Oryctolagus cuniculus: one gene and its partners. The protein of the gene in region 6 interacts with the protein of the main gene of each other region in a biochemical or structural test. Links are inferred from orthologs where the notes say so. Each region holds a gene or a part of one and is shown on either strand. Other genes may lie near its edges. The genes, in order: SENP1, DAXX, CHEK2, MAPK7, KLHL20 and PML.

Region 1 (5,030 bases), on a different chromosome or scaffold from region 6:
GGTTCATTTTTGCCAGTTTACACTTAAATTGGGAGAGGGAGTATTCACCCCAAGAATTTCCATGCAATGCTGGATCTGGCACCTTTCAGACCACCAAATGCTTTCAAGTATAAGAATTTTCCCCAGGGGCCGGTGCTATGGCATAGCAGGTAAAGCTGCCACCTGCAGTGCCAGCACCCCATAGGGATGCTGGTTTGAGTTCCCGCTGCTCCACTTCCTATCCAGCTCCCTGCTAATGCACCAGGGAAAGCAGTGGAGGATGGTCCAAGTCCTTGGACTCCTGTACCCATGTGGGAGACTAGGAAGAAGCTCCTGGCTTTGGATCAGCCCAGCTCTGGCTGTTGTGGCCATTTGGGGAGTGAACCAGCAGATGGAAGATTCTTTATCTTTGTCTCTCTGGCTTTCGAATTAAATTTTTTTTCCCTCGGGACCAGCACTTTGGTATAGCAGGTTAAGCCACCACTTGCAGAGCTGGCATCCCATGTGAGCTCCAGTTTGAGTCCCAGCTACTCCACCTCCAATCCAGCTCCCTGTTAATGTGCTGTGGAAAGCAATGGAAGATGGCCCAAGTGCTTGGGCCCCTCCCACCCACATAGGTGTCTTGGTAGGAGCTTCTGGCTCCTGATTTTGTCCTGGCCCAGCCCTAGTTAATGCAGCCATTGGGGAGTAAACTAGCAGATGGAAAAATCTTTTTCTGTGTAACTCTCCATTTCAAATAAATACGTAAGTTTTTAAATAAAAAATTTTTTCTCTTAAAAACAATTTTAGTAATTTCCTTGTACATACTGATCATTTAATTTACTGAAAGGATGTAAGCGGCCGGCGCCGGCATCCCAGGTTCTAATCCCAGTTGCTCCTCTTCCAGTCCAGCTCTCTGCTGTGGCCCAGGAGGGCAGTGGACGATGGCCCAAGGGCTTGGGCCCTGCACCCGCATGGGAGACCAGGAGGAAGCACCTGGTTCCTGGCTTTGGATGGGTGCAGTGCGCCGGCCGTGGTGGCCATTTTGGGGGGTGAACCAATGGAAAATGGAAAACCTTTCTCTCTGTCTTTAACTCTGCCTGTCCAAAAAACCAAAAAGGATGTAAACAATTACAGTATTTGAGGTGAATCAGATTAGAAACTGAGCAAAAGATAATTAATTGAGGGCCGGCGCCGCGGCTCACTAGGCTAATCCTCCGCCTAGCGGCGCCGGCACACTGGGTTCTAGTCCCGGTCGGGGCGCCGGATTCTGTCCCGGTTGCCCCTCTTCCAGGCCAGCTCTCTGCTGTGGCCAGGGAGTGCAGTGGAGGATGGCCCAGGTGCTTGGGCCCTGCACCCCATGGGAGACCAGGAGAAGCACCTGGCTCCTGCCATCGGATCAGCGCGGTGCGCCGGCCGCGGCGGCCATTGGAGGGTGAACCAACGGCAAAGGAAGACCTTTCTCTCTGTCTCTCTCTCACTGTCCACTCTGCCTGTCAAAAAAAAAAAAAAAAGATAATTAATTGAAAATCTAAAAAATGATACAGTTCTGACTGTAACATAATGTAAATGTACAGGAAAACATGTCTGAGTTCACACAAAGAGGGGATTACAATTGAGACTGTTTAGGCTATAATGAAGTCAGTCGAAAACATGTACTTAGGGCAGGCACCGTGAAATCCACACTACCCAGGACCAAGATGAGGCTGGGACAATTTAGGGTATCACTCTACCCTGGGAAGCAACTGTGTGTATGACACTGTACCACACCCGCCCACCTCGGTCATCTCTCCCAGTTGGCCCCTAGCATCTTGAAGGTCCTAAGCACTGGCTATTTAACATACACGGACATAACACTGTGCACCAGCTGCACGGGCGGTTGCGGGGGACACCAACAGAGCAAGGACAGGTCTCTGCCTGGGAGAAGCCAGGGACGGTGAGGCGGGGCCTTCCTAGGTGCGCAGGTGGGGGACTTGCGGGGCCGCAGCCAGGAGTTACATCACCGTAGCCAGAAGCAGCAGAACCTGTTTGTGTGCCATCCACCCCCTGACTTCACCCCTCAGCGAACAGACACCAGTGGGGTAATTAACTGAACAGGCAGGAATGAAGCTTCCACGACGCAGGGGGAGGGGTCGGTCCCTCGGCCGGGGGAAGGTGAAGGGAGCGCATCTCAGCAGAGGCTCGAGACCCCCGAGTCAGAGTCGGCGCGGCCAAAACCGAGGGGATGGGGAGCTCTCCCCCGCCCGGAAGAGCCCACGCCAACAAAGACCCCGGCCAGAGTCGTGAGCCCCCACCCGCGGCTTTCGGTAGATTTCAAGGAATCACCACCGCCCCCGGACACAATGCGTGAACTCCACGTGAACCGCAACAACTAACGAGGCTGACTCCAAAGTGATAAAGGAGCCGGCTACTGCCGGCCAGATAGTGGGAATCCTGCAGAGGCGCTGATAAGCAGAAATCACCAAGCTCGGGACCTGCTCGGATCCGGAGGGCTCACGTCGGGGTCGCCGGGGAGGCGGCGCCCCAGGAATTACCGGGCGGCGATGAGCCGGGTCAGCGGGTCTCCCGCCTGGGCAGGGGCGTCCGGCGTCTCTGTCTGGCGGCGGCACTAGCGGTCGCACATCTCGGGGAGGGACCGCCGGGCAACCGCGCAGGGGAGAGGCGCGCGCGGCACGCACGAGCAGTCGCGAGCCATCACTGGGTCAAGGCAGGCAAGAGGTGAGCGGGGGCGCGCCGCGCGGAGCGCCCCGAGGGAGGAGCCCCGCTCCGGCGGGAAAGCCCCACCGGGGGGCGGCGCCGAGTGGGGCCGCAGTCGGCGGCGCGGCGCGCGGACCCCCGGCCTCGCGGCGCCCGCGAACCGCCACCCGCCGGCCCGCGGCGCGCCAGGGGAAGGGGCGCCGGGGGCGGGGCCGGGGGGACGCGCCGGCCCGACGCCGCCTCGCCCCCTCCCGGCCGGGGCCAGGCGGCCCGACTCGGCCTCGCGGCCCAGCTCCCGCCATCCTCCCCCTCCCCCTGCTTCCCGCCGCCACTCACCGAACCGGAACCGGCTGCTATGCGAGGGGGTTTCCGGCCGGTCGCGGGACGCAAAACCCGGGAACCTCCGCGAACCGGAACCGCTTTCACAACGCCGGAAGGCCCGCTGGCGACAGCGGCGGGGGGGGGGGTGTCAGCGGGCTTCGGGGCCCGCGGGACGCCTGCGCGGTGCGGCGAGGCCTCGGAAGGCGAGGGAGCGTTGACTGCTGCGGTCACGACTTCCCTGCTGCCCCCTGCTTGTGCTGTTTCTCTTCCTCAGGCTCGGAATACTTGGCGCGCCCTTGGTCCTTTCTTTTCTCTGTCCCTCGGCCCCCTTACCCGCCGCTCTCTGGTTCCGCCCCGCCGTCCCGGCTCGCGCTGCGGTTTCCATGGCAGCCCGTTGGCGGCCCGGGTCTGCGGGAACTTGCGGGCGGCTGCCCTGAGAGGAGGGGACCCGGGGTCCCGATAGGTCTCAGTTTGTGGCGGGTCCCGTGGAGGCTTACAGAGCGTGCGCACTCGAGAAGAGGCAGTCAGAGCTGGCTGAGGCTAGCAGGTTCCTCACTTGGCAGCGCACCGCGCTTGATTAAGTCGGGGGCGCGGGGGGCGCTTTGGGGGCGGCCCTGGCGGCGTGTGGAAACGCAGGCCTGCTTTCCTGGGTGGACCCGGGCCTTCGCTCCGGGAGCACACTGGCTGACCTGCAGCCCGTGCCATGCTGAGGGGGTCCGCTTGTTGGTTCATTCAGACTGGCGGGCCTTGCCTGACCAGGCCTGTCCCGCGGTGCTGAGGCGGGCTGGTGAGGGCCACCTGGCGCGCCAGTGTCTGGATGGCTCCACGCTAGGGCCTCGTGCCGGTACCGTTGGACATACCTGCTCCTGCCAGTCATGGACACCTAATCATGGCGCGATCTGCTCATTTGGACTTAATTCTGTCTCTCTAGGAGACAGCCATGCGTGAAGAGGAATTTCATCTGAAATTTTTCATGTGTGTGATTCGGTCTCACCAGGTAGTCAGGACTCCTCAAAGCACAGGTACCTGAGTCTCCTGACGGTGCTCCTGCGCACTGCCTGGGTTCTTGGATGGGAGTCTCAGAACAGGCGTCAGGGGCAAGTGGCCAGGTGTGTTCCCTTGTCTTACCTTTTCCTAACACAAGCACCTGCATAAGTGTGTGGATAGGCCCAAGCAGGTAAGGAGGATTTGGGAGCTGAGAGAGAACCAGAGGCAGAGCCCACGAGCTGGCTGTTGGCTTCTGGGTCCTTAGTCTAGGCTCACCTCTGGGAGTCCCAGTTCCCACTGTCATTGACACCCCAAACCTGTAAAGTCAGTCAAGCCCCAAGGAAAAATGACCTCTTCCTCGGCAAGTATCTGGCTGTGTTCTGCTTTTCCCGTTTATGTCAGAGGGATAGATTGCTTTGGACGAAAGATGGTTGTTGAGAAGAGTCACTGCTTCTCTTATTTTTCACTGGATTTATGGAAAGAGTGTCATGGACAGCTGAGAGTCAGAAAATGAACGGGAGGAAGGAGTGCTCCTCCCTGAGTCTCACCTCGAGGGTAACCCAGGACTCTTTGCTTCTCAGCTGCGGAAGCTTCGACTTCCAACAGGCTCATACCAAGGCCACCACCCAAGACAGATGCCTCCCAGAGTCTGTACACTGATGATGACCCAGGCACCGAGGAAGGCATACCTCATCTTCAAACTGGTGAGGCATGCGGGGAAATGAGGGGTAGCAATGTGCAAAGGAGTGTTGGAGAGTGAGGTACTCAAGCGCGGGTGGTCAGCCAGGGTAGACCTACCAAACTCGAAATAAGAGCTAAGACACAGGGAGAAAGTGTGAGTGTGTGAGAAAGGGGAAGAGAGAGGTCGTTTGGAAAACTAGAGAAAGGAACACCCACCTCAGGAAGCACAGGTTTTTTTCCTCTTTACTGCATCAGTTGTCCCCTCATCTGTGAGTTGCTGGTTGGCTTCCCGAACTTCCGTCAGCAAGTTTGATATACAAGCATGTGAAATATTATTTTTAGTTAATGTTTATTTATATATTTATATCTACTTGAAAGGCAGAGCA
Region 2 (5,167 bases), on a different chromosome or scaffold from region 6:
AGATCCTCCTCCTCTTCGGAATCTGTGGCCTCCTCTTCCTCCTCCTCCTCTTCCTCCTCCTCCTCACTTTCCTCATCTTCTTCATCATCTGTCTCAGCTTTGGAGGTAGTAGGGCACTCCTGGGAAGCCATTCCACTGGGACCCTGGAGGACAAAGGAGTTTCTCTAAGGAATCCCTGGCCTCAGGGGGTTTGGTTCTTGCATTCCCTCTGTACCCCCCCATCCATCACCCTGGAACCCCTAGCGGCCAGCGCAGGGGGAGGACAAGGTCTCTCTGAAGGCTGCTGTCCCTTCCACACCTCACCAGAATCCAAGGAGGCTGTGGGGGAATCTGCAGGCTGGGAAGAGGTGCCTTGGGGGAGGCGGGCTCTTCTCTTCTGTCTCTCGCCTTCCTCACTTCTGTCTTGCATCATTGCGTATTTGGAGATGACCTCGTCTAGGCGGCTCAAGGCCAAGGTCCGGTTTTCCCGAAGGCGCCGGGCCAAGGCAGGATCTGACAGTGCAGGGTCAATGCCTACATGGGAAGATATGACAGCAGAGCACTCAGCCCACACCCTGGCAGAGAGGGCGAGCGGTCCCCTCTGCCTCCGACGGGCACCCCGCTAACCCGCTACCTGGCCTGTAGTCATCCGTGAGGTGGCAGCCGAAGTTGTAGATGAGGTCGAGATGGCGTCGCTCCTGTAGCCTGACGCCCACATCTCGGAAGGCGTCCTGGGCCATGAGCTGGAGCTGCTGGCGCGGGAGGCCGAGGCTGTGCCGGACAGCTGCCTTCTCTACGGCCCGCAGCACATCACCGTAGTCGGGGAAGGTGTCGGGGCCTGGCTTGTTGATGAGCCGCTCGATGCGCCTGTTGACCTCTGGGTAGCGGGTGCCGCGGTAGGGGATGCGCTGCTCTATGACCCGGCCGGTCAGCGAAGAGCAGTCTTTCAGCTCGCACAGTCGCCCAAAGAGGCGGATCAGCTTCCGCTTCAAGCGCGACTCCTGCAGGTACGTGGAGTCTGGGTCATCCAGTTCTGACAGATCCAGCTCCTTCTCCTGCAGCCTCCGGATCTCCGCCACGTACAGTGCCAGCAGCTGCTCTAGGCGCTGGATCTGCCGGCGGGAGCCACGGGTCCTTGGGGCCTCGGAGACAGCGGCCTCAGCATTGCCGGGCTCCGAGGCCGGGTCTGCAGAAGTATTACTCCCAGAGGGCTCACTGGAGGCGGTGGCAGCAGGAGCGAAGTTCAGCTTCTTCTTGGCTGAGTGGGCCTTGAGAACGGTGCAGAGCTCGTTGATGTAGACGTAGAGCTTGGCGGGCCGGCTCCGGGCCCGGGACAGGACCCGAGAGAGGATGTTGCAGAACTCGGCTGAGGCCAAAAACACAGAGTGGGCACGCTGCTGCCGACTGGAGAGGAACGGGACCACCTCAGGGTGGTCCGCTGTCTGCGTCTTACACAGTTCAAGGAACTGGAGGGTTCGGGGGAAGAAGAGAGCGGACAAGAGACAAGGGAGGGGGTTGAGAGAGAGAAGGGGGGGTGCAGTTAGTGGGGGAGAGAGGACCAGAGAGCCAGTGCGCCATCCCCCTCCCTGGGGTATAAGAATCTTCTCCCCTAAAGCTCACCTCTTCAAACAGCTTCTCATTCTCCAACTTGTAGCATTTCTTGCCGCCAGAACTACTGCTTCCTCCGGCCCCATGGGGCTCAGAGGAGCCAGGGGCTTCTGCCTGGGGTGAGGCCGGAGTGGGGGGTGGGTGGGAGGGCCCTGGCTGAGCGACTGCTTCATCTTCGTCATCATCATCCAGCACAATGATGCTGTTAGCGGTGGCCATGAGGGATCAAATCCCCCGGAGGGAGGAAGTGTTGGGGGTTTCAGAATTCCTGCTGGAAGGGGATGGGGCCTCAGAAAGAGCCCCTCCAGCATAGCCCCTCCCTTCAGCTCAGTTTCCAATCTCCGTGGGTTTCAGCAACACCCAGCCCTGCCCAACAGTGTCCTCACTGCCTGTCTTCTGCAACCATTAGCTCTGGATGCCTTCCCGGGCCCTTCAAGTGGCCCAGGACAGGGAACCGCAAACATTCAATCGCCACACCCAGCTCTACCTCTCACATTGGCTTCCGGTCTTTCTGTTCCATCTCCCCACTATTTCTCATAGTTGTCAAGTTGGTTCTTCCAACCCCAGTCCCGCTTCCCAGATTCCCATGACACCCTCACACACGGAAAACACACTCGCTCTGGCTGCCTCACGTCTGGCCCCTTTCACCCCGAAACATGTCAAACCCATACCCCACCCTTAATGATCACCCCAACTCCTAGACAATCCAACAGTCCTCTCAACGATCCATTCTCCTTTCCCCTCCTGCTATTAACTCCGTATTTCACCCTCTGATGGGCTTCTTCAAACCAGGGCACTGGGTTGGAGTATGACACCTCAAGAGCCCTCCCTCTCACCCCACCCTGATTTTACCTGGTCGCTCTCTGTGACTTGTAACCGATCGTGAGACCTACAGTGGGCTCTCCCGATTCTTCTCGGATCCCACCCTTGAGTCGCGCCGGCAGGGTAGATGAGCTTCCCGCCAAGTCCCCCTCCCCCAGGTCAGACCCCTAGCCGCCCCACTTCCCTTCAGGAATAAGGTACCAGAGCATGCCTCTCAGACTCAGAGCCCGCGTCTCCCCAGTACCGCCTCCTCGATATCCCCTCCCCCGTTTTCGCTCCCCACACAGTCCGGCCCGCACCTCAGAAACGGTCTCACGAGACGACCCTCGCCGCTGATCTCAGAACCTCGCATGGTTCCCTCCGCCTTCCTTCCCCCTCCCACCGCAGGCCCCACTACAGACCGGAAGCCGCGGAGTTTCCGCCTACACGCGTATAAGCGCGGCCATATTGTCGTACGGAGCCCAGCCTTCCTGCTTCCGGAAGGCCCCACCGAGCGTGCCTAGTACCGCCCACCTAGCCCGCGACTCCCTTCCCCCTGACCTGTAGGGGGCGGGGCCTGCCCCTTCAGGGCGTCCCGAAGTTGCTGGGGGCCGCCATTTTGTTGTACGGCCCCAGCTCTGCAGTGACTTGGGCCCTCAGCCGGCGGAGCTATTTTCACCTGGTGCTTCTGGGACTCCGCCAATCAGAAACTTCCTGCCTCGAGCCCAACCGCCAGCTAGTCGCGTGCCGAGACCACTGAGCCACCTTTCCCAGGGGTGGGAGGGGGGCAGTGGAATAGGCTGGCTGAAGAACTGGGGTCGCCAAGGCTGTGCATGGCTTCAGGAAAGGGCAGGCGTGTCTAAACGGGGAAATAAAACCTTTTCCTTCCGCTGGGCAATTAGTGAGGCTTCCGGTCCTGCTTTCCTATCTCCCAGGTACCGGTTTCCACCGCTTAATGGGCTTTGCGCCCCTCGCCGCTGCCCGGCCGCCGCTTCCACTTCCAGGTGCTACGTCCCCGGCCGGGAAATGTCGACGCATGCGTACAAACGAGCACCGCGCTCCCTGAAGGTGGTGGTGGTGGTATTACTATCGCTACGTTGTTGTTGACTGGCTTTCCGAGCTCCGCCTCAGAACTAATCAGCGTCCAAGCCGGCGGGACCCGAGCGGCGCTGCGCTGTTCTCCGAGTGGGGCCTGGACGCTGCGGCGGCATCGGCCCCTCGAGGCTCTGTCGTGGGGTCCGGGGGCTGGGGGGAGCAGCTGGGCGATGGCCCCCGCGCGTGCGGGGAGACGCGGTGGTCTCCTGCTCCTCAGGGAGAGCCGAGGACAGAGTGAGGAAGGAGCCGGAGGAGACGCCTCGCGTGGGGGAGGCCGGGCCGCGTCCCGAGGCGCGCTTGCGGGGACAGCGCGAAGCCCACGCGCGGGTGGTGGCCTCCTGCCTCAGGCCCGCGGCCTTGCATCCCTGACGCTTCCTTTGAGAATCCCTGTCACTTCTCGCCAGTCGTCCAGGCCTACAGCCTTCAAATTGAGCAACAAAACTCGCCAAGACCACTGGGTCTTGACAAAGAGGATTTAAGTTTCAGATCCTCAGCTTTCCCAAAATTGGGCTCCCAGAGCGAGCGCCTGCGGTAGAGGTTCTCCCTCTTCCTTCCCCTTCACAATGGACTTTCTCCATCTTATAATAATTCACAGCCGTGAAGTTGCCTGGGTCTCTTACCTGGCTGAAGTCAAAAGACACGTGGTCTATTTCAGCGATGCACCATGAACACAATCTTCTAGCTTATTAAAAATTCGTAATGCAAAAATTTGCACAATCTTTGTGCTGCTTGATAAATTCGTTTTTCATAATTGTAACGATAAATATTTTTAACAAAGAGTCAAAATCGCAAGAAAGACTTTTTTATTTAAAAAAATGTTTTTTATTTGACAGGTAGAGTTAGAGACAGAGAGAAAGGTCTTCCTTACGTTGGTTCACCCCCCAAATGGCCACTACGGCTGGCGCTGTGCCGATCCGAAGCCAGGAGCCAGGTGCTTCCTCCTGGTCTCCCATGCGGGTGCAGGGCCCAGGCACTTGGGCCATCCTCCACTGCCTTCCCGGGCCACAGCAGAGAGCTGTACTGGAAGAGGAGCAACCGGGACTAGAACCCGGCGCCCATATGGGATGCCGGCGCCGCAGGTGGAGGATTAACCAAGTGAGCCACGGCGCCGGCCCCAAGAAAGACATTTTTCATCTCAATTAGTATATATGTACCTTCAGGAAAACGTAAGAGGTTGGTCAATAAAAGATTTTCAAATATAAGAGCATATAGTTGGTGTTGGTGCTGTGGATTAAGACTCTGCCTCTGGCACTGGCATCCCATGTATGGGTGATGGTTCGAGTCCCAGCTGCTCCACTTTCAATCAAGCTCTCAGCTATGGCCTGGGAAAGCAGTAGAAAATGGCTCAATTCTTTAAGCACCTGTACTCGCATGGGAAACCTGGAAGAAGCTCCTGGCTCCTGGCTTTGAATCGGCCTGGCTCTGGTCGTTGCAGCCATTTGGGGAGTGAACCAGTGGATGGAAGACCTCTCTCTCTCTGCCTCTGCCTCTGTAGTTCTGCCTTTCAAGTAGATGTTTAAAAAGATAAAAAGAGCATATAGTTGCTGTCAGTGCTGTGGAGTAACAGGCAAAGCCGCCGCCTGTAGCACTGGCATCCCATATGGGTGCTATTTCAGGTCCTGGCTGCTCCTCTTCCAATCCAGCTCCCTGCTAATGGTCCTGGGGGACCTGGAAGAAGCTCCTG
Region 3 (4,940 bases), on a different chromosome or scaffold from region 6:
CAGCTTGGGTCTCTGCCAGATACACAGAGACCTGGATGGAGTCCTGCCTCCTGGTGTGGCCCAGCCCTGGCTGTTGTGGGCATTTGGGGAGTAAACCTGAGGCCAGAAGATTGATATTCTCTCTCGCTCTCTTTCATGCTTGCTCTCTCGCTCTGCCTTTCAAACAAATATATAAACTTTTAAAAAGTGTTCTTTAAAAAAAGAGACAAAATTCAAGAATGAAGTATGAGCATATTACAAAGGCAAAAAAAACGGCCGGCGCCGCAGCTCACTAGGCTAATCCTCCGCCTTGTGGCGCCGGCACACAGGGTTCTAGTCCCGGTCGGGGCGCCGGATTCTGTCCTGGTTGCCCCTCTTCCAGGCCAGCTCTCTGCTATGGCCATGGAGTGCAGTGGAGGATGGCCCAAGTGCTTGGGCCCTGCACCCCATGGGAGACCAGGAGAAGCACCTGGCTCCTGCCTTCGGATCAGCGTGGTGCACCGGCCGCAGCGCGCCAGCCGTGGCGGCCATTGGAGGGTGAACCAACGGCAAAAGGAAGACCTTTCTCTCTGTCTCTCTCTCTCACTATCCACTCTGCCTGTCAAACACACACACACACACACACACACACACACACACACACACACAAAGGCAAAAAAAAGAACGAACGAAAAAAAAAAAAATCCAGGGCCAAAACACTCTACCAAAATTAAAATCCTACCAGTCTAGACCTGTGCTTCTATGCTACCATTTTTCCCCAGGTCACTTTTTTGACTGTCATAAGACACAGAGAAGAAAAAATAAAGTTACTTGAAGGCAACAAGTGTAAACGCAAGGACACTGAGCTGGAGGGGGCACTCAGAGGCTTTTAGGCATCCAGTTTCTAAAAATTGGAAATGCGGGGGCTGGTGTTGTGGCTCAGTGGGCTATGCCACAGTTTACAACACTAGCATCTCCTGTTCAGTGCCAGCTGAAGTCCCAGCTGTTCCGCTCCTAATCCAGCTTCTTGCTGAAGAGCCTGGGAAGCCAGTGAAGATGGCTCAAGTGCTTGGGCCATTGCATCCCAAGAAGAGCCTCAGGTGGAGCTCCAGGCTCCTGGCTTCACACTGGCCCAGCTCTGGCTGTTGAGGGCTTTTGAGGAGTGAACTAGGGGTGGAAGATCTCTCTATCTGTCTCTCCTTTCTTCCCCCCTTGGTCACTCTGCCTTTCAAATAAACGTTTTTTAAAAAAACATGCATGTGAAATTTAATTATATTGATTGTATTAGTCCGTTTTAAGTTTCATTCCTAACTTTCAAGGGATTGGGCCAGGCCAAAGCCAGGAACCTGGAACTTCATCCCGATTATCCAAAAGAGTGGCAGAGGCTCAACTTAGTTGAGCCATCCCAGGCACATTAGCGGGGAGCTGGATGAGAAACAGTGCAGCCAGGACTTGAACCTGTGTTTCTCTCTGAGATGCCAGTGTCACAGGCAGCAACTTATCCCACCACACCATAACACTGGCCCCTCACATACATTTTTGAAAGGGAAAGATGAGGCATGGTCAGGTGGCTTGGGATAAAAGACAGGCAAAACAAACTTCACCACTTGGAAGGGGCCCTTTCACCAAAACCTTTCTCCCCCAGGCTTGCTCCTGGAGGGCAGGGATCCACGTCCCTGAGAGCTATCTAAATGCCAGGCTGCTTAAGGAGGCCAGACAACTCAGCGTAGCCCTTTGTGATGCTAAGTAACTTACAGCATCCTAAAGAGCCTTCCACTTAAAAGGCTCCCGCCCTTGCCTTAGAATTAACTTGAGGGGCAGTTAGTCAGTTACTTTCAACGCTGACCTAAGTAGATTTTAAGGCACAGTCTCTTTCCCAAGCATGAGGCCCACTACTTACTACAGGTTAGCAAACAACATCACTCTCACTGACTGTATTTGCACAGCTTTCAAGATTACCAAAGTCCAGGGGCTGGCGCCGTGGCTCACTTGGTAAATCCTCTGCCTGCGGCACCAGCATCCCATATGGGCGTCGGGTTCTAGTCCTAGTTGCTCCTCTTCCAGTCTAGCTCTCTGCTGTGGCCCGGGAGGGCAGTGGAGGATGGCCCAAGTGCTTGGGCCCTGCACCCGCATGGGAGACCAGGAGGAAGCACCTGGCTCCTGGCTTTGGATCAGCATAGCTCTGGCCATAGGCACCATTTAGGGGGTGAACCAACGGAAGGAAGACCTTTCTCTCTGTCTCTCTCACTAACTCTGTCAAATTAAAAAAAAAAAAAAATTACCAAAGTCCTATTGTGTGATCCTTAAAACACACCTGACCTGCTGATCTAAAACGGTCAGCCAGGCTGGGTCCCCGACTCCCCCACCCCAACGAGCGGGGAGAGTGTGCCAAGAGGTAGCTTTAAGAGGCTAGAGGCCAGCAGGCCTGAGCTCAGGCACTGGAGTCGAACTTCTGCACGATCTTATGCCTCGGCCTCTCTGGACCCACTTCCTCATCTGGAAAAAAAGCACCCAGACCAGAGCTCTCAACGCGCCAGTGCGTGTAATGCTCCTCCTAGGGTAATGGTTGCTAACTGGGAGCAGAGGAGTGAGTGAGGGGACAAAGTGGCAGCAGGAAAGCTCCAGGGCTGTGAGCAGAAGTCCAGTCCCAGACAATCTGAGAGGCTTACAAGGGCCACACAAACGCGTGGTCACGGCACCCCAGTATGTCCGTGTGGCCATTCGCAGGGACTTGCTCCAGCCCGGTCAGTGTGTGTCCAGGTCCTGCGGTGCCCAGCAGCCAAGCCTGGGTTCGCCATCAATAGCTTAGAGATCGCCTCTAAAGAACTGTTCATAATTGCTATCGGTCACGGACCTCTTTACAAAGCAGCGCTGCTGTGACAGTGACGAGCACAACTCTGTTCCCTGCGGTCCTGGCCTATTTAAATGTATAAATAACGAGGAGGGAAGTGAAGTTAAACATTATCTAAGGAAGAAAGCCGCCCACGCAGTCCGCCGCCGGCTCAGAAGTCCAGACGAAGCGGAAGCTTGAGAGACTCTGCTCGCCAAAGACCCTGGAGAACGAGATTCGATCCCCCAAACACCCAAGAAGAGCTCCCCCACTATGACTCACCGCGTGAGCCCACTTGCAGCCGCACACTCTCCACAGGCGCAGCCAGCAGAGTGGCGCTAAACCTGAAGATACAAACTCCGCCCTCAGCCAATCAAAACGCTCTCCGCCGCCGCCAGACCAATGAGGAGCGGCGGATGTGACCGCCACGCGTAGGCTCAATGCTTGCCGGGAGTTGTAGTTTAAGAGGCAGAGCGGAACACAGTCTCTGGGGCTCACTGCAGTGATCCCGCCCCCGCAGCTCCTCAGCCAATCGGCAGCTTCAGGCTCGTCGACAGTGTTCTCCGCTTATTCCCCACCGGTGGGGAGACCGGCCGCGGGCCAGATGTGGAGCGGGAGGTCCCGGGCCTTGCTCCGGGTGTGGGAGTTGTGGCCGGCAGGGGTTCCCGGAAGGAGACTGTTAAGCTGCAATGCTGCGTCGCAGGCGAGAAGTAATTCGCCCGGATGTTGGAACTGCGGTGTACCGGGGGCCCCTGGGCTGGGGGACGGGTTCTTCTGCCCGCAGTGCCGCGCGCTGCAGCCACCTGACCGAGCTCGAGACTACTTCAGCCTCATGGATTGGTACGGGAGGCGGTTTTGGGAAATGCATGGCGGAGAGAGGCGCCAGGGGCTGGCCTGCGAGCGTGGAGGGCGGGCCAGGCGTGGGAAGGACAGGACGGGACCGGGAAGACCGGTGGGCGGAGCCCGGAAAGTGGGGTTTGTGGGGTGTCCTGAGAGAGAGGAAGGGGCGTTGAGGGGTGGAGCCGGAGTGGGCAGGGGGCTGGATGGGCGGGGACGGGGAGGCGACGGGGTGGGGGGAGACCCTGGGGCGGCCCCTGCGGGAGAGGGAAGCGGGCGAGGGGCGGATCTTGGGGGCGGGGAGACCTGAGGGGAAGCTGGGGTGGGACGTGTAGGTGAGGAGTGGGCGGAGAACTTCACATCGTGGGCAAGGCCTAGGGGGAACGTGGATCTTGGAAGAAGAGGGTTTTCCGCCCTGGGGGTGGGGAGATGTGGGCACAGCTGAGCTGGTGAGGAAATAGGGCCGGCTCTGGGAGTAGAAAGCCGAAGGGATTTGGATTAAAAAGGAGCCAGGGACGAAGGTCCCCGGGCTTTAGAAGAACAGGGTGGGGTTTGGGGATGCCTGGTCACCCTCCTCTGGGATCTACCGCCACCGGTCACTGAGTGCTTAGGATGGGCCGTAGCAGCACTGCCCTCGAAGTTCCTCGGCCTGCGACTATACTTGCCCGCCCGGGTCTTTGCGCTTGGGTGTCGCTCCCCTGATCTCGGATTACTCATCATCATCCTCATCATCATCATCGTGTTCAGGTTGAGGCTCAGCTCAGAGGGCCCTGGCGTCTACCACCCTTGCTGACCCCCTGTTCTTTTCCCTTTTAGCACTTAGCTTTTTTTTTTTTTTTTTTTTTTTTTTTGACAGGCAGAGTGGACAGTGAGAGAGAGAGACAGAGAGAAAGGTCTTCCTTTGCCGTTGGTTCACCCTCCAATGGCCGCCACGGCCGGCGCAGCGCACTGATCCAAAGCCGGGAGCCAGGTGCTTCTCCTGGTCTCCTATGGGGTGCAGGGCCCAAGCACTTGGGCCATCCTCCACTGCACTCCCGGGCCACAGCAGAGAGCTGGCCTGGAAGAGGGGCAACCCGGACAGAATCCGGCGCCCCAACCGGGACTAGAACCCGGTGTGCCGGCGCCGCAAGGTGGAGGATTAGCCTAGTGAGCCTCGGCGCCGGCTGAGCACTTAGCTATTTTTAAAGTGATCTCCATCTCTGCGCTTCTTGCATTTTCCCCCAAGAGCAGGAACCAGGCCAACAGGAGAGAAATCTATCATTTTGTGTTGTGTGGATTTCATCTCCAATTTCCTTCCAGCAACCGTTCCTTCAGA
Region 4 (5,185 bases), on a different chromosome or scaffold from region 6:
CACTGCTGTTCTTCTCATCGGCCCCTCGGCCGCCCACTGTCCCTACCTCCCAGGCTTCCTTGGGAAAATGGGCCCCATCCACACATGGCCAGAGCAGAGCACAGGTGACTGGGGTTTGGCCAATCAGCACACTCTTCCCCTAGGCTGGGCCTGTCCAATGGGACATGACCTGGAAACGAGGCTAGATGCCCCACGGGCCGGCATGGAGTTCTGCGACACCAACACCCCATATTGGAGACTGGAGCACTGGCTAGAGCCCCGGCTGCTCCAGTTCTGATGCAGCTCCTGGCTAACACACCGGGAGGCAGCAGATGGCCCAGATACCTGGGCCCCTGCCATCCGCGTTGAGACCTGGATGGAGTACCTGGCTCCTGGCTTCAGCCTGGCCCAGCCCTGGCTGTTGTGGCCATTTGGGGATGAGCCAGCAGATGGAAGAGCTCTCTCTCTCTTTCTCCCTCCCTCCCTGCCTGTAACTCTACCTCTCAAATAAATAAATAACATCTTTAAAAAATAAAATGTCCTCTCTTTAGGCTGACACTGGGGCACAGTGGGTAAAGTAGGAACCAACCAGTGGATGGAAGACCTTTCTCTCCATCTCTCTGTAACTCTACCTCTCAGATCCTTAAAAAATTAAAAAGGGAAAAACTTTTTAAAAATAAATCCCATGTGGCCTTGGTATAGATGAAACCTACCTGGGGTGCAGTCATGTCTTGGGCCTGCAGTCACCCTGCACTGACCCCGACTCACCCAGAACAACTTCCGGTCCCGCAAGCCCCATTCGTGGTGAGTGCCCTCCACAGAAGCACTATTTATTCTCGTCTATATTTCACGGTGCTTCCCCACGCTTAGATAGGTTGTGCTACGCAAACACCACCGTTACAAATGCCCACAGGTGTGTGCAGGGCGCAGCAGGTAAGTTCTCACAATGCCAACACCGCCTCCCAGTGTGATTCGCAGAACGCAGCCCTGTCCTGATGGGACCTGGGACTGTCTGAGTCACTTTCCTCTAGTGGCCACCAGGAGGCGGGACCAAGATTTTTCACTTAAACGTTTCTTTACCAAAGTCTCGAACCACAAGAAAATGTGATTCCACCCTTTCCGTTTTTAAACAAGTGGTCAGTTGTGTCAGATGCAACAGAGAGTTCGAGAGGGCAAGGGTCAAAAGGCTGGATTTGACCAGAAAGGGATAACTGATGACTTCTCCAAGACAGAGCCGCTGCTGTGGGAGCAGCAGCACAGTAATTCAGACAAAAAGTAAGAGAATCAGTCTTTTTAACCAGGGGATAGTGAATTGTCTGCAGCGAATAACCTGACTGGATGGAATATTTTTGAAGTATTTAAAGGATACACAGTGCATTAGTCTCTTCTGATATTTTATTCCTGATTCAAATAGGACCACCAGACAGAGTACAGTGGGTCCCTAGAAAATCATGTGTTTCATGTTCCGGCCTCTGTGTGACCTCTGCTTACACTGAGAGCTGACACAGGGCCTCACGCTGCATGGATTTCATCTCTAGAAAGGCCCCTGGGGCCGGCGCTGTGGTTAAGCCGTGGCCTGCAGTGCTGGCATCCCGTATGGACACTGGTTCAAGTCCCAGCTGCTCCACTTCCGATCCAGCTCCCTGCTGAAGCGTCTGGAAAGCAGAAGATGGCACAAGTGCTTGAGCCCCTGCACCTGCGTGCGAGACCTGGAAGAAGCTCCTGGCTCGGCCTGGTCCAGCTCCGGCCATTGCGGCCACAGGGGGAGTGAGCCAGCAGACAGATCTGTCTCTCCCTCTTTCTCTGGTTCTGCCTTTCGAATAAAACAAATAAATCTGTGTAAAAAAAAAAAAATTCCCCTCAAACACTTCCATATCTCAGTAACAGGAAACCCCGTTTCTCAAGAGTACGGTTGGTTGCCTTATTAATGCTCAGTGCAAATCACGTGAGATAATTTGGCTTTGTTATGCTGCCAGGGAAACCAAACAAATTTAGACTTCAACCCCAACTCAGTTGGTTCATACGATCGCTACCTATCTAACTACTAGATATACATATAAAGGTACCGCACGCACTGTGGAAAGCAGAATCAAAAACTTTTTTTAAAAAGAGATTTACTTAGGTGCCTGAAAGGCGTAACTAGAGAGCGGCGAACCGGAGAGAGATCTCACACGTAACGGCTCCCTTCCCAATGGTGGCCACAGCCAGGGCTGTGCCAGGCCGAGCCGGGAACCGGCAACTCCACCCCCGTGTCCGCCGCGGAGGGCAGGGGCCACCTCCCAGGGACCACGCAGCACGGGGGCAGGAAGCCGGATCGGAAGTGGGGCGGCTCGAGCAGGCGCCCCAGCGCGGGCTGCCGGCCGAGGCTGCATTCGTTAAGCCACAACGCTGGCCCTCCCCCCTCAAAAAAGTGTGAAATCCATGCAAAATAAACGACCTTTGAACTCTGCCGAAACGGTCAACCTGGCACTCCGGGACTCCTGACGACCGGGTTCCCTCCCGCTCTCCCCGTCTTCCCATCCGCCGGGCCTGGTGCAGGGCAAACTCGCCCGAATGTCCCAGCTCCACACCGTGGCTCCGCCTGCAGGGCCTTCATTCCTCCACGGAAACAGTCACCGCCGGAGTCTCCACCACAAAGCCGCTTCTTCCTCGCCGCTCTTACCTCCAGCCCTCGCCGCCCTGGCGTCGCAGGGCGGGGCTCGACACTCGACTACGCGAGGAATGGCGTTCCAGTCAGAGTGCTGCCGACTCGCGGACTCCACAGAAGGGCCCGCTGCCTCCTTCCACTCTGTCGCAGCCCGAAACGCCGGAGCCGCGGGACAGAGCCACTGCGGAGGGCAGACGCCGGACCAGCAAACTACCAGCGAGCGCCGGAAGTGTGCGAGAAGACCGGCCGCCGGAAGTCAGCGGCAGCTCCGAGGCCGGACGCTCTAGAATCCCGGAGGACCCAGGTCTCTATGGTTGGACGTGCCTGCTCGCCCTTTCCCGCGAACGATGCTTTCCCAGAGCTCCCAGAACCGAGAAAATGGGGACCCGTTAAGGAAGAGGGGCCCAAGGAGGGGTATTGCGGGAGCCAGTCTCCAAGGTAACAACCCCAGGCCTCTCAGCTCGCCCCGAGTGCCCGGCTGTTCCCCACAATCGCGGGACGAGCCGTGATTGACCGCAGGAGCCGATGGATGGGGACGCGCGCGGGCCGACGTGCAGGGGCGTTGCCTCCTATTCTCGCGGCGCCCGGGGCTGCCGGTGCGCATGCGTGCAGGGGACTGCGCCCGGCGGCCGGCGCACCCCTCCGGAGCGCCGAGCGCCCTCAGGGCGGCGGCTCCCGCCGGCGAGCCGGACCCCGGCGGGCGGAGGTACGGTTTCCTAGGCCGATGCGCCCTGATTGGGCTCAGCAGGTAAAAGGGGTGGGAACCTCCGCAGGGGCCGCTCGCCGATTGGCCGGCGGCGGGAGGGAGCGTGGTCTCGGGAGGCGGGGCGGTGGGGTCCGGGCTGGGCAGCGCGCGGCGCTGAGGAGGTGGCCGCGGGCCTCGGACGGGCGGGAGTGCGGTTCCCGGAGCCCCCTCCTCTAGCCGGGGCCGAGGACGCCGGCGAGCGCTGGGACTTCCAGGATCCCTGAGGAGGCGCCGGTCAGTGAGTGTGGCCCCGAGGAACCCGAGGGCCCCGCCCGCCCTTTCTTCCTGGACTGCGCCGCGCCGCTCCCTCCCCCACCCGCGACCCCGACCCCCACCCGGACCCAGGCCCGGGGCGGCGGCTCCCAGCGTCGGGTGTCTCCAGCGGGCCAGCCGCTCCCATTCGCCAAGTGGCTGGTTTTGGAAACTTGGAAATTTCCCTGGTGCCCCCTCCCCAACCCACAGAAGGGGAAACTGAGACCCCCGGGATGGGGGCTGGGGGTGGGCCCTCTTCATCACCGGCGTCTCCACACAGAGGACCATGGCCGAGCCCCTTAAAGAGGAAGATGGCGAGGATGGCTCTGGGGAGCCCCCCGGGTCGGTGAAGGCTGAACCCGTCCACACCGCCGCCTCGGTCGCCGCCAAGAACCTGGCCCTGCTCAAGGCCCGTTCCTTCGACGTGACCTTCGACGTGGGCGACGAGTACGAGATCATCGAGACGATCGGCAACGGGGCCTACGGGGTGGTGTCATCCGCCCGCCGCCGCCTCACCGGTGCGTCTCCTGGGTCACTGTCCTTGTCAGATTCGGAGTGAGAAACCCTGCCTTAGCCAGCCGGGCTGTGAGGTGTGGTTCCGATCCAGAGATCTCTAGGTGCCCAGGCTCCCAGTGAGGCAGGACTCCTTGCAACTCTGGCCTAGCCGTTTTTTGTTTGGTTTTGTTTTGCCATCCCACCAGGCTGCTGGGCTCTGGGGCCAGAGCCTGGCACCAGGGAGTGGTGGCGGGATGGGCTAGGTCTGGGAGGCTCTCTTGCTAACTGGCTGTGCAGCTTCTCACAGATGACCGCGCCGGGTTCCCTCGTCTGTAACGTTGAGCCGGTAGTACCTACCTCATAGGGTAGCAGCAGTGTGGTTGAAGTGCTTAGTTAGCACCAGGCTCGGTAGCCTGTAGGTGCCCAGTGTGTGGGAGCTGTAGTTGTTTGCATCCTGGAAGTGGCTGCTCTAAGAGACCCTGTGGTGACAGCCTTTGCCCTGCCCCCCAGGCCAGCAGGTAGCCATCAAGAAGATCCCTAATGCTTTCGACGTGGTGACCAATGCCAAACGGACCCTCAGGGAGCTGAAGATCCTCAAACACTTCAAACACGACAACATCATTGCCATCAAGGATATCCTGAGGCCCACGGTGCCCTATGGCGAGTTCAAATCCGTGTAAGCAGCGTGATGGGAGAGGGAGGCACAGTTAGGACTTGTAGCAAGGGCTGGGGCTCCTATCGCTGAAGCTAGGAAAGGCAGCTGGGAAAATTTCCATAATCGCAAGGCCAGTGCTGCCTTAGGGCGTTGCCAGGGCCAGCTGTTACTCCTCAGGAAGAGTAGAGGCCTTACAGTTTCATAGACTCTCAGTGTATAAGCTGGCCAATGTAGAACGTTGATGCTGCTATTGCACCCTCCTACTCCCACAGCAGACATCACTAATTGATCACAGAACCCTTCTCTAGAGAAAACGGGTATGCCTTCACAGTTTTCATCATAGTCCTTCGAGCAGCCCAACAGCAGAGTTAGCCACCAAACTGAACCTTTCGGCCAGCCCTGGTGCAGGCCA
Region 5 (4,483 bases), on a different chromosome or scaffold from region 6:
CTGGCTTCGGATCAGCGCGTTGCGCTGGCCGCAGCGCACTGGCCGCAGCAGCCATTGGAGAGTGAACCAACGGCAAAGGAAGACCTTCCTCTCTGTCTCTCTCTCTCACTGTCCATTCTGCCTGTCAAAAAAAAAAAAAAAAAAAAAAAAAATTCTGAGTTTTCTTTTTTAGCCTGGTGATATGATTTTTAAAATTTGAACCTTCTTGTCTACTCAGATAAAACCTACTTGGTCATGTTGTATCATCCTTTTTATACATTGTTAGTATTTTTCCACTTTTTAATTTTGATTCCTTATTTTACAAATGAGGAAACAGTGGCTCAGGATTTCCCCAACATTGCAGAACTGGTAGAAGCAACAATCAAACCTTAATTTTCTAACTAAATTCAGTGTTTTATCCATTATATAGGATATTACCTTACAATTCTATTTGAATAGGTGTCATTGTCCTTCTTTGTCAAGTGGACATGATACTAATGTATTTAGAAAATTAATTAAGGTTATAGCAATCCCAGTGGAATAAATGAAAGTTATGACTGTATTTGGACCTACTTCTAGAGACATTTGCTTAGTCACACATTAATCCACAGTGAGGTTAGCAGGGACTGATACAGTTTGCCTTAGGGCACATCCTCTTGATCATTTCTGTTTCTTCCTTAGTCGGTGGTTGGTGCAGTGGAGATGCCATTTCCAGTGTTGAAAGATACGATCCACAGACAAATGAATGGCGCATGGTAGCTTCAATGAGCAAAAGGCGATGTGGAGTTGGGGTCAGTGTCCTTGATGACCTGTTATATGCAGTGGGAGGCCATGATGGATCCTCTTATCTCAATAGTGTTGAAAGGTGAGTAAAGAGGGCTTGAAATGTTTTCTCTATTGTACGTGCAGTGTCATTTGAGATACTAATTAGGAAACAGATGTGACTTGAGTCTGTGGCACTGGTTGGCACCCTAATCCTTGTAGCATGACGTACAAGTCCTCTATGATCTGTTCTCCACCTGTTTTTCCACTTTGCATTGGATTGCACCATTCCCTAAACATGCAACTACGGACCCAACAAATTGCTCACAGTTCCTGGCACAACTGTCTTTTTTTTTTTTTTAAAGATTTGATTTATTTATTTGAAAGTGAGAATTATGTAGAAAGAGGAGAGGCAGAGAGGATGCCGCCAGTTCACTCCCCAGACGGCTGCAACGGCTGGAGCTGCGCTGATCTGAAGCCAGGAGCCAGGTGCTTCTTCCTGGTCTCCCATGGGGGTGCAGGGGCCCAAGGACTTGGGCCATCCTCCACTGCTTTCCCAGGCCATAGCAGAGAGGTGGATCAGAAGCAGAGCAGCTGGGACTTGAACCAGTGCTCAAATGGGAAGCCAGCACTGCAGGCGGCGGCTTTACCTGCTGCGCCACAGCGCCAGCCCCAGCACACCATCGTCTTTCATGTCTGTTTCCCTATGTGTATGCTTGCTTTCTTCCCTGGAATATTTGCCCTTTTAAGACTTACTTATCCTTCAAGAATCAAATGTTAATCATTACATAAAATTCTCTGATGGTCATGCAAATAAATTAGTTTCTCACGCCTTTATTCTTTATGTATCTTTAACAAGCTTGTTCCTAATCCATTGTGCTATAATTGTTGAGCTGCCTTTATCCATAATATCTATCACACAGGGCACAATGGAAACCTTACAGTAACTGATGTTTTAAAAGCTTCTTGCTCTCATGCACCCTTTTCCTTTCCATGATGTTGATTTAAGGTGATCCTTGGTATTTCCACAACACACCTCTGAAACCATGCAGCAACTCAGTTCCCATTGTGGCTGGAAAAACACCGAGGAATCAGTTCCATAAAAGTGGAGTGGCTAGGGGAGTGCACTTAAATATACCAAGGGAATGCTAACTGTATTTTATGAAATAAAGTGTCGTCAATTCTAGAATCATGAAATAAAACTAAGATATTTTTAAAATAAATAAGTAAACCAGTTAAACAAATATAAGCAAAATAATTAAATATTTATATCTCAGTTACATTGAAGCCTGTAGATATCAAAATAAAGATTTTGGGAGCCAGCACTGTGGCATAGTGGGTAAAGCCGCCACCTACAGTGCCAGCATCCCACATGGGCGCCAGTTCGAGTCCCAGCTGCTTCACTTGCAATCCAGCTCTCTGCTGTGGCCTGAGAAAGCCCTTGGGCCCCTGCACATACATCCGAGGCCTAGAAGAAGCTGCTGGCTCCAGCCATCCCACTGTTGTGGCCATTTTGGGAGTGAACCAATGGATGGCAGCCCTTTATCTGTGTCTCTCCCTCTCCCTGTAACTCATCTTCTCAAATAAATAAATTAAATCTTAAAAAATAAAAGTAAAAATGAATATATTCTTTGCCCCAACGATTCTAGTCTTTATCCATTTTCTAGTCTTTATCCATTTGCACAGGGAGAAAGATACAAGAATAATCACTGTTTTTAATAGCAACATATTGGAAATAGTCAAAGGATATATGGATAGGAATATGATTAAGTGACGTGGCATATACAGTGTTATAAAATAGTTCAAAAGGAATCTCTTGTGCTATACTTCTATAAATAGATCTCAAATATCTTGAACAGAAACAGTGCCTACTGTGGACATATATTTATGTAAATAAAACAAGCTCACAGATGCATGTGCATATGGGTACATGTATACTTATTTGAAAACATTTTACTGAAAAGTATTAAAGAGTATATGCCAATCATAATGGGAAGAGACCAGAGTTCAAGTGGAACTCAAAGGGAAAATTAGTTTTGTTGATACTGTTTTGATTTTTTAAAATATATATTCATATACAGCTTATTATATACAAATGAATTTCAAAGATCAAAATAGGTTTCCATGTATTTTAGTTATTAATCTGCCCTTATTTAAGGGAGATAACATATATCAATCCTTTGATTTGAAATATGTAACATAGCCAGACTTCCTTTGTGGAATAAGAACTCTGCTCTTGATGTGTTCTTTACAGGTATGACCCCAAAACAAACCAGTGGAGCAGTGATGTGGCCCCTACAAGCACCTGCAGGACGAGTGTTGGTGTGGCAGTACTTGGAGGCTTTCTGTATGCCGTGGGTGGCCAGGATGGTGTGTCTTGCCTCAACATTGTTGAGAGGTGATTTTTTTTTAAATACTTTTCAATTTTTTTAAGGACACCTAGGACAGTTTTAAGGAAACAGTTACAGCCAACTTAGAGCATTAGAGGATTCACAATTCAGTGAATTTACCATAGGCTTTCCAGAAAAAGTTTTCAGTTGATCATAAAGGCTAGAAAGATTAAAAATATTTTGCCGGCGCTGCAGCTCACTAGGCTAATCCTCCGCCTTGCGGCGCCGGCACACTGGGTTCTAGTCCCGGTCGGGGCGCCGGATTCTGTCCCGGTTGCCCCTCTTCCAGGCCAGCACTCTGCTGTGGCCAGGGAGTGCAGTGGAGGATGGCCCAAGTGCTTGGGCCCTGCACCCCATGGGAGACCAGGATAAGTACCTGGCTCCTGCCATCGGATCAGCGCCGTGCACCGGCTGCGGCGGCCATTGGAGGGTGAACCAACGGCAAAGGAAGACCTTTCTCTCTGTCTCTCTCACTGTCCATTCTGCCTGTCAAAAAATAAAAAAATATTTTAAGCATTTTTAAATTGATTTTTAATCGACATGCAAATACTTATTGATGGTGACCAGCATATTTTGCAATAGACACACATCGTAGGATGACTGGATCAAGCCAACTAAAAGGCTTTTCATTTTTTTGTGATGAGGACACCAAAAATCTACTCCGACACTTTTCAAGTATACAATACACTTACAGTCATGGTGTTGTACATTATATCTTTGAACTTATTCCTCCTGTCTAAAGTCAGAGTTACTCAGAGAGAGAGAGAGGTCTTCCATCCACTGTTTCACTCCCTAGTTGCCCACAACAGCTGGACTGGAGCTGCGCCGATCCAGAGCTGTGCCGAACTGAAGCCAGGAGCCAGGAGCTTCTTCCGGGTCTCCAATGCAGGTGGAGAGGCCCAAAGATTTAGGCCTTTTATTTTTTTTAAAGAATTTTTTTTTTATTTATTTGAGAGGTAGAGTTACAGACAGTGAGAGGGAGAGACAGAGAAAAAGGTCTTCCTTCTGTTGGTTCACTCCCCAAATGGCTGCAACGGCCAGAGCTGCACTGATCCGAAGCCAGGAGCCAGGAGCCTTATCCGGGTCTCCCATGTGGGTGCAGGGGCCCAAGGACTTGGTCCATCTTCTGCTGCTTTCCCTGGCCATAGCAGAGAGCTGGATCAGAAGAAGAGCAGCTGGGACTAGAACTGGCACCCATATGGGATGCGCCACTGCGGGCAGCAGCTTTGCCCACTACACCGCAGCGCCGGTCCCTCTCATCATCTTTTTAAGACTTTATGTGTGCTTGTTATCAGGCAGTCCTTGGCTTTCTGTGCTTAGCTTATTTTGTTTAATGTAATGACTTCTAGTTC
Region 6 (3,331 bases):
GACCTCCTGGTTAGGGAGAGTGGAACCTGCAGATGAGGGGCCCACGCTGTGGCGCAGCGGGTAAAGCCACCACCTGTGATGCCAGGATCCCATATGGGCACCAGTTCGCGTCCCAGCTGCTCCACTTCCAATCCTACTCCCTGCTCAGGGCCTGGGAAAGCAGCAGCAGATGGCCCAAGTGCCCGGGCCCCTGCACCCACATGGGACACCCGGATGAAGCTCTGGGCTCCTGGCTTCAGCCTGGCTCCACACTGGCCATTGTGGCCATCTGGGGAGTGAATCAGTGGATGGAGGAGCTTTCTCTCTCTCTCTCTCTCTCTCTCTCTCTCTCTCTCTGTAACTCTGACCTTCCAACTATGCAAGCAAATCTTTAAAACAAACAAAAACTCCTGGAGACGAGGCACAGGTGGCACAGGAGGACTTTGAGCCTTTGGTCAAAGGGTCGAGCTGAGACGTGCAGGTGCCCTGGGCAGGCCAGCGGGGTTAAGGGTGGTGGCGCCGGGCAGTTGCATTAGCTGGCTGCCCACACAGGCCGGGGCGCGCAGTCCCCCGCACTGGTGCCACAGGAGTGCCTGCAGGTACCTACCTGGGAGGCTGCCTCTGTGACGTCCCACACGCGCATCACGCCCCATCACCAGCGTCCCTGGCCTCCCTGTCTGCCGAACGTGGGATGCAGAAGAGGAGAGCCCCCTCCCCTCACCAGGCAAGAGGCCTCTCGTTGGCTCCTGTGAGGTGGCCCGAGCAGAGTCTATGATTGGAGCCTCAGAAATTCGGCTAAAACCCACAGCTTTATTAACGCCGGGTTCAGCATAAAACCCATCACCAGCCTTGCCTGGGGACAGCCGGCATGGGAACAATTCCTTAGGAGCCCCCAGAGGGTCCCCAGGGCACCTGCGGTGGGAGCAGAGGTCACGGGCCTGCGGCACTGGGCAGTGTGGGCAGTGGGGGACGTTCCCGGGCTGGGAAAGAGAGTGGAAGGCTCTGGGGGCCCAAGACCGAGGACGAAGCCTGGGTGTGTGTGGGGTGGGGAGGCATTTGTGTGGCTGGGACAAGGTGAGCAAGCTTCTCCCAGGGGCTCACAGTGGTGGTGGTGGGGGCAGCGGCTCCTGTCTGCTGGATGGATGCTCGGGGGGCCAGGAGATGTGGCCGCAGCCCAGCCAAGGCTGGGGGAACCCAGGCTCCGGGGGCAGATGGCTGTGAAAGGCACTTTGGGTACGCGTGGGACTGCAGGTGGTGCCCGTGGGAGCAGCGAGCAGTCCCCTGGGGCGATGGCGTGGGGATGGGAGAGGAGTGCAAGGACGCCTGTGGGGGTGGCAGGTGGGGCAGCTGGGGCCACTCAGAGCCCCCCTGGGGGGGGTGGGGGTGGCCTTGGACCCTGCATTGTCAGGTCCCAATTTTTGGACCTAACGACACCTGAGCCCTGGGAGCAGGGCGCTGGGAATGTGAGATGGGTGGGGCCTGGCCAAGGGAGTCTCCCCTTCTCTGGCCACCTCTGTCCCCATCGCCCACCGCCTCCTCTCAGCTCTGCTGGGCGGCGCCTTGTTCCAGGCTGTGGCCATCGACAGAGGCAGATGTGCCCTCGGACAGGCGCTGGAAGTAGGCGCTCAGAGCCTGCAGCCTGGGAGTGGGCAGGGCCGGGGCCGGCGCCGTGGCTCGCAGACCCAGGGAGCGGCAGTACTTCTCCAAGCCCTGCTGCGGGTCGCCGCGGTGCGCACTCAGAAGCTCCTGGAAGCTGGCCTTGTGCAGGGCCAGCAGGCGGGCCTCGGCCCGGGACAGGATGGCCGCCTGCACCAGCGGCTGCAGGGAGGAAAAGCACTGCATGCTGTGGAAGGAGTGCACGTGCCGGGCCAGCTGCCGGCCGGGAGAGACCTCCAGCAGGAGGCACAGGTCACGCATGGCCAGCACGGCTGCCAGGGCGCTGCCCTCGCTCATGCTTCTCGCCAGGTAGGTCTCGGCCAGGCTCTTGAGCTTGAAGCTGCTGGCTCCGGGCACGAGTTCGCGCACGAGGGGCAGGAGGGCCAGGAAGCCCGACACGGCCTCCTGGAAGGCCCCCAGCTTGTTCATGTCTTCCAGGGCCCGGAGGAAGACGGAGAGGCTGGGGCCCCACAGCGAGTAGCAGGCCAGGACGGGGCGGCGCATGGCGCCCAGGAAGCCAAGGAAGTGCTGCAGCCCCGTCTCCAGGGACACCGCCTTGGAGCAGACGCTGAAGGCTCCAGGCTGGATGAGCACCCGGAACTTGGTCTCGCGGTTCACGGCCGCCAGCTGGCTAATCTTCTGGGCTGGGCAGGAGAGAAGGGCAGGGTGAGGCCCCAGCTCAGGGGCGGCGCCTGCTGGGAGGGACCAAATGCGGCCTGGACGCCGGCTCTGACGGCCCTGGGGTAGGAAGAGGGCAGGGGCAGGCTGCCCAACCCAGCAGACCCGTCAGCTGCCACCCAGCCATGCGGGAGACCCCAGACTGCTTCTGCATGGCCCTCTGCACCCTGGCCTCCGGTCCCAGAGTCACTAAGCTCAGGCCGCCAACCCTGCCGGGAACGGGAATGCCAGACCTGCCCTGACCGCGCCACCCACAGAGCCAGCGCTGAGGTCCGCGGAAGCGCCTGCCCCTTCTGTCAGTCCAGCGACATGTTGGACCTGCAGGGCTTGCGGCTCAGGGAGGGGCGCGGTGAGGCCAGAGCAAGCCCGGGGAGGGGTGTCGTGGGGTCCTCCCACACCCAGGTGCAGGTCACAGAGGGGACCCCAGGCGAGGGGGTGTCCCGCCCCCTCAGCCAGAGCTCCCGGCCATCCTGACCGTGGCACGTGGCTCAGAGGCTAAGCTAGGAGGGGGCAGTCCCCAGAGAACGCACTTTCACTGTCGATCTTGAGGTCAAAGAAGACCAGGGGCCTGTCTTCTGCGTGGGGATCAGCGAGGTTCACGTCCGGGGCCCGCGGGGAGCTGAGGCCCTCCAGCTGGAGGTCACTGGACTCGCTGCTGCTGGTGTCCAGCTCTTGGCGGGGCTGCAACACAGAACAACCAACGGGTCAGGGGGCGTGCCTAGCGCACACAGCGCACGCATGTGCGTGTGGGGCGTCAGGAGCCGGCTGGCACAGCAGGGGCCTCTGTGTGCATGGGAAAGAGGGCACGTCCCTGGGTGCATGAGCCGGTGTGTTGCGTGTGAGGACTCGCGTGTAAGCCAGGCACGCACGCCTCAGAGTAGGGGTGAGGGGGAAGACGGTGCAGGTCGGCGCAGGTGTGGGTGTGCCTGTGCAATGAGGCGTGAACCTGTGTGGACACCCGCGGGCGGACGCGTGAGTGGACCTGCGTAGTGAGCAGGTGCAAGGGCGAGGCTTGGGG

Evidence for each region.
Region 1: of the proteins of PML (region 6) and SENP1, one has a biochemical effect on the other in vitro, tested with the Homo sapiens proteins (2 studies listed by BioGRID). The link is inferred for Oryctolagus cuniculus from reciprocal best matches to the Homo sapiens genes PML and SENP1.
Region 2: the proteins of PML (region 6) and DAXX form a complex in vitro, tested with the Homo sapiens proteins (2 studies listed by BioGRID, with this or other methods). The link is inferred for Oryctolagus cuniculus from reciprocal best matches to the Homo sapiens genes PML and DAXX.
Region 3: the proteins of PML (region 6) and CHEK2 form a complex in vitro, tested with the Homo sapiens proteins (2 studies listed by BioGRID, with this or other methods). The link is inferred for Oryctolagus cuniculus from reciprocal best matches to the Homo sapiens genes PML and CHEK2.
Region 4: the proteins of PML (region 6) and MAPK7 form a complex in vitro, tested with the Homo sapiens proteins (2 studies listed by BioGRID and IntAct, with this or other methods). The link is inferred for Oryctolagus cuniculus from reciprocal best matches to the Homo sapiens genes PML and MAPK7.
Region 5: the proteins of PML (region 6) and KLHL20 form a complex in vitro, tested with the Homo sapiens proteins (3 studies listed by BioGRID and IntAct, with this or other methods). The link is inferred for Oryctolagus cuniculus from reciprocal best matches to the Homo sapiens genes PML and KLHL20.

The regions. Positions count from the first base shown.
Region 1 is NC_091440.1:137,669,875-137,674,904, forward strand, and holds the start of SENP1 (sentrin-specific protease 1), read right to left. Parts: upstream 3,292-5,030; 5' UTR 2,992-3,291; intron 2,677-2,991; exon of another isoform or gene 2,493-2,676; intron 1-2,492. Other genes in the region: PFKM (ATP-dependent 6-phosphofructokinase, muscle type), read left to right, coding at 3,917-3,998, 4,545-4,667. UniProt on the Homo sapiens protein: Protease that catalyzes two essential functions in the SUMO pathway.
Region 2 is NC_091436.1:135,802,397-135,807,563, reverse strand, and holds the start of DAXX (death domain-associated protein 6), read right to left. Parts: upstream 3,207-5,167; 5' UTR 3,068-3,206; exon of another isoform or gene 2,950-3,067; intron 2,843-2,949; exon of another isoform or gene 2,709-2,842; intron 2,577-2,708; exon of another isoform or gene 2,440-2,576; intron 1,859-2,439; 5' UTR 1,807-1,858; coding exon 1,600-1,806; intron 1,446-1,599; coding exon 614-1,445; intron 514-613; coding exon 299-513; intron 144-298; coding exon 1-143. UniProt on the Homo sapiens protein: Transcription corepressor known to repress transcriptional potential of several sumoylated transcription factors. Down-regulates basal and activated transcription.
Region 3 is NC_091452.1:22,176,088-22,181,027, forward strand, and holds the start of CHEK2 (serine/threonine-protein kinase Chk2), read right to left. Parts: upstream 3,201-4,940; 5' UTR 3,071-3,200; intron 1-3,070. Other genes in the region: iron-sulfur cluster co-chaperone protein HscB, read left to right, coding at 3,393-3,628, 4,925-4,940. UniProt on the Homo sapiens protein: Serine/threonine-protein kinase which is required for checkpoint-mediated cell cycle arrest, activation of DNA repair and apoptosis in response to the presence of DNA double-strand breaks.
Region 4 is NC_091448.1:61,506,536-61,511,720, forward strand, and holds the start of MAPK7 (mitogen-activated protein kinase 7), read left to right. Parts: upstream 1-1,629; 5' UTR 1,630-3,155; coding exon 3,156-3,374; intron 3,375-3,443; exon of another isoform or gene 3,444-3,605; intron 3,606-3,903; coding exon 3,904-4,141; intron 4,142-4,628; coding exon 4,629-4,794; intron 4,795-5,185. UniProt on the Homo sapiens protein: Plays a role in various cellular processes such as proliferation, differentiation and cell survival. The upstream activator of MAPK7 is the MAPK kinase MAP2K5.
Region 5 is NC_091438.1:2,198,386-2,202,868, forward strand, and holds part of KLHL20 (kelch-like protein 20), read left to right. Parts: intron 1-660; coding exon 661-844; intron 845-2,995; coding exon 2,996-3,139; intron 3,140-4,483. UniProt on the Homo sapiens protein: Substrate-specific adapter of a BCR (BTB-CUL3-RBX1) E3 ubiquitin-protein ligase complex involved in interferon response and anterograde Golgi to endosome transport.
Region 6 is NC_091443.1:109,450,108-109,453,438, forward strand, and holds the end of PML (protein PML), read right to left. Parts: intron 2,995-3,331; coding exon 2,844-2,994; intron 2,401-2,843; coding exon of another isoform or gene 2,315-2,400; exon of another isoform or gene 2,280-2,314; coding exon 1,519-2,279; 3' UTR 770-1,518; downstream 1-769.